Linked DNA regions of Daphnia pulex. The protein of the gene in region 1 interacts with the protein of each later gene in a pairwise test. Links are inferred from orthologs where the notes say so. Each region holds a gene or a part of one and is shown on either strand. Other genes may lie near its edges.

Region 1 (4,326 bases):
TGTCTATTCTTTCAACGAAATAAATTCAAAACTTATGCTAACTAAATCTTACAGCAAGGATGATTAAATGTGTATCCAAACACTGGTTGTAATCAAGTTAGATAAACTTTAAACCATAGCTCCAATAACATTTTATTACGCGTCACATCTGATTACTTATTGTTCATTTGACATCAAATCAGATTGCATTAGAAAGAGGCAAGGGAACTTTTGTTTTGTTCTTTTTTTGTTTTATTTTGTCAAAATTCTAATTTCTCGTCCAAAAACTACGCACTACGCAGTCCCATTTACTTCCACATCATATTTTCTTATAACAACAATCTTATCTTATAACAGACTTAACGACTCACTCCATAAGTATTTTTCAATTTTTTAATAATGAACTGTATGATCGCAATTGAGAACACTGAATGTATATAAGAAATTTTGCGATTCGGCAGGAATATATTCTACAATTAGTGGTTTCCTCATAGAGTTTTACCAGCGGTGGTAAGGATGTACTTGTTTTTATATTCTGGATGGAAATCCAGTATCAATTGATCCGACGGCTAGTTAAAATCCTGACTTGCTCATCAACATATTGTTGAAGGCATCGTATTTTAATTAACCAACCGCGCCTAATCAAAAAAAAATTGTGAAACCGATTTAATACTAACTAGATTTATAACCATGGATGATGAAACATGTGCTCTATCACTGTTCGTAATCAATTAAGATATACGTTTGAACATAGGTCCAATTAATTGTTTTTACGGGTCACATCTGTATAGTTACTGTTCATTTGTCATCTTAAAATTGATTTGCAGGATAGAGGCAAGAAAACGATCCAATTAATATTTTTGTTTTTGTCGAAATTTAAATTCCCCATAAACTTTTCAAAATTTGATAAGAATTTGAATTTCACATCCTCTTATATCTTATTACAGCGTCCAAATGGCGATAACACATGTAATGCACTTTTTCAGCTTTGCGCCGGTTGGCAGAAATAAGCTTCGAACGTGCCGCTTATTCACGTCGCGGAATGTGTTTTTTCTTTTCTCTCTTTTCGTGACACAAACTTTCGCCTTGAAAATGATCGGGGCAGCTATTGTAGTTCTAATCTCCTTTGGTATGTAATCACTTTTGACTATATTAGATATGCGCAGAGAGACATTCGGGACTGTTTATATCGCGTGATTTAGGAACTAGAGAAACAAAACAGGAGGTCGTCCAGGTTATTCTAGGAATCGTTAACTTCTTGACTGATGAACGGCTGCCCAGTAAAGATTCACCTTAATGTTCCTGCGCTCCACCTGCCAAAGCCCTTTTCAAGGTGTAAAACGTCGTTTTCAAAATGTATATCTGAAAGGAAATCTAACGCGATGCTCTTCATTCGTTTTTATATATTTTGAGGGGGGGGGGAATCATCAAATTGATGTACGATGGAAAATAGCCGCTCATATCGCAAATCACTCATCCGGCCGTTTAAATTTCTTTCGACTAAGCACCGCCTCGTGTAATGGAGGGATTCCAGCAGTTCAAAAAGTTCTGAAGTAGAAATTGAACAGTTGGCCCCATGTCCTTATCATCTTTACTTTATTGCCTATCGAAAACTATTTTTTTCTCTCTACAAAATTACCACGAGATGAGTTAGCGAGAGCGAGAGGCGCCGTCTGGATTTTTCTTCTTTTTTCTCCCGCACGCGCGTTCCATCATAATACCTGAAAGCTTATCGCCACATCTTTTTCAAAAGAAAATCTCTCCTTCGTCTCATCTTATTCCTTCCTTTTGTTTAACCCCTTTCAATGCTGCCGAACTGGGAGACCCTTATTATTACGTAAGAACGCGTTGAGAGGAGGGACCGGCCAGTCCACGGCAATGTCAGCCATAATCATAACGCATTGTGTGTATCGAGACTAAACTTGCGTGCCTGTGCGTATTTCTCCCGAACGCATTCTATATGATGTGAAACTCTCTCTCGGACGCCGAGTGTCGAGTTCCCTGTGCAGTGCACTGCACACACCCATCACAAACATGTATGTGTAAGGGCTATACGCAATATTATGAAACGCTTGTTGATTTAAAAAGATTAGAATCTCACAGCTCCGTGCATAATCGATGGCGTTGCTGTTTAGATTTCCACGGTCCCAAAGTAATTCAAACTGGCTCGTGAATCATATTCACAACAACACAAAACAACACCACCACTATAGTACAACAGCAAATCAAATAAAAAAGAAAGAAAGGTTAAGTTAGATGATACGATAGACCTTGGGACCGCGCGGAGCTTCTCACTTTACTTTTTGTTTCTATATAGTCCCGCGCGCAAAGCGCCCATTTTTTTATGCGGGATCTTTTTTCCCGAATTATTCAACGAATGGGCGTTACGGACGGTAGAAAGAGAAAAAGGGGAACCTGTCCAAAGACAGTGAGGAATGCCTCATATTTGAATATCTACAATACCTATATAAAAATCTCTGATCTTCTTCCAACTGATTTAACACATTCAAAAAATATAATACGTAAGAATAGAATTTTTAGCTACCAGTCCATTCCAACAAGCCGGTTGCTGCTGATTGTTGAAGACGCTAGTTTGGTTGCCTCTGGCGATGGTAGTCTGGACAGCAGCACTACTTCCGTCCATCGTAGCCATTCGTTTTGCTTTCTACACTCTGTGTGAAGTGGTTCAAATGTGTTCCAGTCCGGCCGGCCCAAAACTATGCGCTGTTTTCTCCTTTTTTTTTTCTTTTTTAAATTTAAAACTTTAAAATTGTTTATCACTCAATTCACACAGAGAAACGAGTGGTGTTGTTATCACTACCGGGTGGGCTGAAGAGTGAAGCAGCTATTGGCAGGAGAGCCGAGTTTTGAACAAATCGCCTCTCTCTCTCTCTTCTCTCTCGCTCTTTCACTCTGCCGTTTTTCTTCCATTCGGTTCCAAAAAGAAACGAAGCGGAACACTGTGAGACTGGCTGGCTGCTGCCGGATTGAAACTTTTTTTCTTAATCGGGACTGCGCTGCGAATCAGAGATTTTAAAAAAAAGCCGCGGAAGAACAAAACAAAAGTTTTTCGGTTTTTCTATCGAAACATTAAGTATGGACGGCGCAGTGCGGTCCTTGTTAAGACCTCCAGGATGGCGAAAGAATGAGAAAGAAAAACAAAAAAAGATGGTTTAGAGCTGCGCGACGCAAGGTTGTTGTTGTAGCTGCTAATTAAGGTGCTTTCCTTTATTGGCAACCGACTGCGATTGTTTTTCTTGTTTGGTTGCGTTCAAGAGAGATACAACAGGAAGAAGACAAAAGGAAAATGGCCGTGTGTCTGCTATGGTCGCGTGTATATCATGGAATTTCGTCAGGTTTGAGACGATTTATCCCAGAAGCACAGCACCAGCACCACCAGTGGCTATTGTGTCGTGTATATAGCTGCTTATATGTTTAATGTGTACGTAGGAAAAGGTCTGCACAACTCACAAGGTCGGAGAGTATTACAGTTTCTTTTCACGTCCTGCGGTCGTCCTCCCCAGCTCAGCTCACGGTGCTGCTGCGTCCTTTTGCAAACGACTTGGTGGATGGCTGTTGTGTTGTGTGACACACAAGAATGTCGTTTGTCGGTGACTTCCAATTTCGGCTGAATCAACAAACTTTTTCGGGGCAACACTATAAAAACAGGGCACGCGAGTTTCACAGACGGCGTGTCCACCACCAGAGACCGTCGCGACGTGAGTCCCGGAGAAGAGACTCGCAGATGATGAATTGCCAGCTGCGCTTCAACAAAAAGGAAAGAAGAAAAAACATTCAAGGCACTTTCGAATGCGGCGCCAAAACCGCTTACGACCTCTCATCGCCATGTGGTGACTGGCAACGAACATTCGTGTACGTTTGAACGGACCAACCAGAAACTTGGAAAAAACATTTTTATTCTTCATGAATTCCAAACGATTGGACAACCGTCAGATTGGGGAAACTCGGGAATGTTTTTTTGAAGCTAGAGATAGAGCTCTGACAGACGTGCTTGCTAGCTTCATTATTTAAATGAATGCTGCCTCGAAAGAAATTTTTGGCGTTATGAAACATTTCGTCGCGAATAATAGCCGAGACCTCTAAATCAATCAGTCCCGAAAAAGTTTGAGTTGGATTCCAGGAAATGTTGAGTTGACCTGGCTATTTCTATCCCGAAACGTGGTGGTACTGCTATAGTCTATATCGTGAAAGCTTTCGTGTGTGTGTGTGTGCCACTCGTCTTTGGTAATCTGCCATGCCTCAGCGATTATACGACCGGCAGTTTTTTAGCTGCCAATTTTTGTCTTTCCTTTTGCTCTAAAAATTGAGAGCGACCAACTGACGCCA
Region 2 (4,606 bases), on another chromosome or scaffold:
GTCATGGATACTGGCCGCTTTGCCAAATTCCCAGCTGCCGCTCTCCTACGTGGCAAAGTAGCCGGAAGCTGGGGCAATTGGGGCAAGACATCAACTTCTTCACTGTTGTTCTCATCTTCAACATCTTGGCCGGCACTCTCCGAAATCCGGTTGAGAGGCTGAGGAGGAGCAACAGCAGCAGCCAAGTCGCCCGATGGAATGTCGACGTCTGGCGGGAAGATCTGCGACGGGACCCGGCTGGGTTTGGGAGGACATGCAGGTGACGCCCCTGGCTGGATGGACAGTGAAGGATCACTGGGTCCCCGCCTCATCATCACTCGATTGGAGGCAGATTGTGTAGATCGGGGCAGCGATTGCGTCGAGTACTCGCGCGCTGTCGGGTGAACCATCCGCACTCGACCCGTCACCGCAGGTGTTAGAGGATTCCTGCCGGAGTACAGGTTAGTCGAGCCACCGTATTGGCTCGCGCTGCTGGCCGATGATGGATGACAGGATCGCGAGTCAACGCTGTAGCGACTCGAGTACAACGAAAGTGGTTTCGTTCGATTGATGGGCGTTGTAATTTTGGCGCCGGTGGCGGCCGTCACGGCCTTGCCACTACCGACGTAGCACGTCACCAAATCTGAAATCGTTTCGAACGGCTCCTCTTCCAATTTGTATTGAGTCGACTGGTAGACCGTGTTGGCTTGGATGATCACCTAACAGATTGTCCATTTAGTGAGGACAAATAATGAGGTCAAATAGTGCTGGATTGAGGCCGGGTCGCCCTATTCTTTTGTCAAGAGCTTTTTACCTTGTTAATCATAAAGTGTAGATGCCCTCCAAAATAGGTGGAGAGGACAAGGTCGCCCGGCTGACCTGTCGAAGAATCTCGAATGAGGAATTCGCCATCGTTTTTCAGCAAACTTTCCGCGTGGCTCCGGGGAATCGACCCGTGGTACCTAAAAGATCAACAACAAAAGGGAGAAAGTTGGTAGGGAAATCCTTGGGACCGATCAATGCGTATGTATGTATATACCAAGCGTGAGATTCGAGACATCGCCCGTCCAGTCCGAGTTCCCATTCCAACTGGCGGCGAAGGCTCTCAGCTTCCGACACTTCTGCGCTGGAAATGTTGTCGTAATCTTGCTGTCAACAAAACCAGACCAAATATAAATAAAGGGATAACGTTTATAAAACAGTTTAGGTCTACATATACTACAAGACTTACCATTTGTGAGATGTTGAGAACACTGGCACTGTGCTGCTGAAGCAGACTCCTGTTGTGCGCCGACTGCGCGAATTCCGAACGCGACCTGCGCGCACATCAAACACTTTTTTGTTTCTTTTTCAAATTATTTTTCAATAGAAGGGGAGGGAATCAGCTGAGTCGTGTTGAAAGGCGATCCTTTTTTCTCAGTGAACGACCAACGCACTCGCCTCGGATCGGAATTCAATGATGACTAATTCACAGCAGAGGATAAAACTTCAAACTGAAAATCTTTTTCAGTACAAAAGGCACCCGGGGCGAATGTATCGAATGCTTGACAGTTCTCTAAAGCTCTGCTCGTTTGAACCCCCAAACCGATTGGCTTGCTTCGTTGAGATTTTCGAAAGATATAGTGTATCAGCAGACTAACTGTGGAAAGCTATACGTTTCCCCTGGCATCCTCTCGTTTCCCTCCATTGATACCATCAACAAAGTTGGGAGGGGTGTGTTTGCCGGCTGCTATTGATTTTCATCTCGTCTGCCCTCCAAACTGCTTCCCCTCCCCCCCTCCCAGCTCAATGGAACGGAACGCTATTTTCTCACGTATACACATAATACACAGACATAGTGCGACATCTAGTAGTCGTAGCACTTACTATACTACTCTCCTTCCCAAAAATGTCTTTGCGTGACTCCCGTCCGCCCAATGGAATAAAATAAATAATAATAGAAAAAAACAAAAATAAACATTGACCAACGACGGACACATCCTGTTTGACTGATTTCCGACACCCACCTGAATTTAACCATGCTGGCGTCATCGACGGAGGAAGTAGAAAAAGCCGGCGAAATTCTGGGTTGGTTCTCTTGTTTTCGGAGTCCTGGAATTTCAGAATAAAAAAAGTGAAATCATATCAAGAGAATGCGAATCATATCATCAGGCGAGTCGAGTGCATTTCATTTCTGAAATGTCGGCAACATTATCAGAGCAAAGCTTTGCGCATTACAAAACTAATAAACAGCACGCAATCTTTCGAGCTGCATTGAAAATGGGCCCCGATTTTGTCGATCTGTGTAACGTTGAAGATAAGAACATTTGTTTGCTGAGGCACAGGTGGGGGGAATTGAAATTGATACAAAATTGGTGCCGTGTCAAGGTGAGTGGCTCGCGACGTGAGTTTGACGGGCTTGTGAGCACGAGAGCGCAAGCCCTGAACGAATCACGCGCTTTAAAACCGGCCACTTCCGGTATTAAGCAAGTTGTTTGTTACTTTCTGGACATTATTTCCCCTTTAAACACTTGTTTTAAAAAAATCGCTAGTTAAAAACCATTGAAAACACTTACGAAGATTATGTTTTGCTCTGAGCAACACAAGGCTGGAGACGATTTTGGCCCGGTGAGCGCTGTTCTTGATTCCAATCTGATTCATGATGGCCGATTCGTCCAGATGGAGGATGTCCTATCAATAGCCATTAGTTTCCGTAATAAGTCACATTGTCAACAAGGCAGCTGTGATTTTATCAAGTTGTAGTGATGTAGCCTACCTGTACGCCATGGAAGCCTTCGAAAAGATGCTGGTACTGCAGCAGATTTAACGAATTCAGCCAATATTTAATATCTAAATGCATTTCGTCCGGTGTGCGTTTTGTATTTTTCCACTCACTGACTAACCGCTGACGAAAACGTGCCGTTGACTGAAAGCCAGAACGAAGACTAGTCTCTCCTACGGTACACACTCACCTGAACCGTACATAATCAACAAGTAGGAAGCGGTTCTAATCTCAGGCGCGCCGGGCAAGAGTCAGATTTCCACTCTGCTCCCTAACCTCGGCATTTCAAATAGTTTTAAAAGCCTCGGGAATAAATTTCTTAATGGACTCTCATAGGGACAGAGATAAAGACACTGCAGCCGCTCTGCGTTTTGATTTACTGCCCTTATCGGCTTCATAGAACTACCTGTCTGGTAATATCGAGCAGTTTCAGAGTGGATTATTATATATGCCCAGTCATGTAGACGTAACACGGGAGCGCGCACTCGAAACCTTTTCTCAACCACGGAAAGTTATCGGGCCACTGTATTCTTGGAAATAAACGTTATTACACATCGCATTACACCAGCAATTGAGCAAGTAGAAAAATGGTCCCCACCGATAAATCGCGTCGATTTCTGTACCATAATTCGGGAGTTAATCAGCCTTAAAAAAAGATTAAAACCGGACATTAAAACATGTTGCTTCACGTTGTTTTGCACGTCACGGTGCTGGCAATATTTCAATTGTTCTGAAATTGCTTCAAGGTTTTTGAGAGTTGCATTATTCCTGTGAGATATAATACACCCACTGCGTGACAATCGTGAACTAGGGGACCGAGTTCTCTTCACGAATCCTAGATGGCGAGAGCGTCCGTGCGCATTTCAATAATAATGACGTCTATCGTCTAATAGTAATTTTCTGTTAAGAGGATAATCCTTCAACGTGAAACATAACTTATTTCTCATTGTCGACCGACAAAACTGCAGTTACTTTCAAATAAAAAAAAAGAATACCATGCGTTATAAATATACAGGTCCAAGGTAGAGCTTTGGATTCGCTGCTGTTAAATGCCCGATTTTTTTACGAGCTTTGGCACCGTCTGGAAGCCAAATTATTTTTACTCTGGTAAAAACCGTTTCTTTATTCTTCAATTGTTCCCGGTCGCAATCGCCCGCATTAAAATAACTGAACCGTCCAGCAAGGAGCTCAGGAGCTGGGCTAATATAATATCATAAAGCATCCGCACTATAATATTAGCTACAGCGAGCGCGCTGTATAGTGAAAATGTATCAACATATTTTATGTAGGTGCTGGAACGAGAACGGTTGGAATATAACAAGACAAATGGAGGACTTTGACCGCAGCTTATTTATTTACATTAGGAACTGGGCGTAACCACAGATGCTACTACTACATCTACTGGATGAGCCGTTCAACTCTGAACACATGAGAGTTTGGGAATGCCAACGGCCGTTGCCGTCGTCACAGTCTCAAAAGCGCCGTGAAATCGGCGGCTAAATTAGCGTATCGCACATATTCCGGACCGTCCCGTCCGGTTTAACTACATATCCCTTCCGCTTCCGCACGAAAAAATGTAATTATCTCCAACGAAAATGTAACAGCGAGGAATGGGTATATAAAAACAAGACGAAAGGCCGGGGGAAAAAATCAGCCAACAGGAAAAGGTTATGGATGGGGACGATTACAAGTGATGAACGATCCTCGGGATTGACAGCGGACGATTCGCGTGCATGATAACTGTTTATTTGAATATTTGTGCCCTATGGGCCAACCAAAAATTAAAAAAACAAAACAAAAATTGTCTAAGGGGAAAAGGGGCTAAAGCCACCTGACGCTGGCACTGATGGCCAATGAGTTCCGTAT

The links.
Region 2: the proteins of breast cancer anti-estrogen resistance protein 1-like (region 1) and breast cancer anti-estrogen resistance protein 3 homolog interact in a two-hybrid assay, tested with the Drosophila melanogaster proteins (2 studies listed by BioGRID). The link is inferred for Daphnia pulex from reciprocal best matches to the Drosophila melanogaster genes p130CAS and CG9098.

Annotation. Positions count from the first base shown.
Region 1 is NC_060021.1:6,680,039-6,684,364, reverse strand, and holds the start of breast cancer anti-estrogen resistance protein 1-like, read right to left. Parts: upstream 2,992-4,326; 5' UTR 2,633-2,991; coding exon 2,525-2,632; intron 1-2,524.
Region 2 is NC_060017.1:3,549,699-3,554,304, forward strand, and holds the start of breast cancer anti-estrogen resistance protein 3 homolog, read right to left. Parts: upstream 3,017-4,606; 5' UTR 2,819-3,016; coding exon 2,735-2,818; intron 2,650-2,734; coding exon 2,535-2,649; intron 2,071-2,534; coding exon 1,986-2,070; intron 1,296-1,985; coding exon 1,211-1,295; intron 1,129-1,210; coding exon 1,019-1,128; intron 942-1,018; coding exon 794-941; intron 699-793; coding exon 1-698.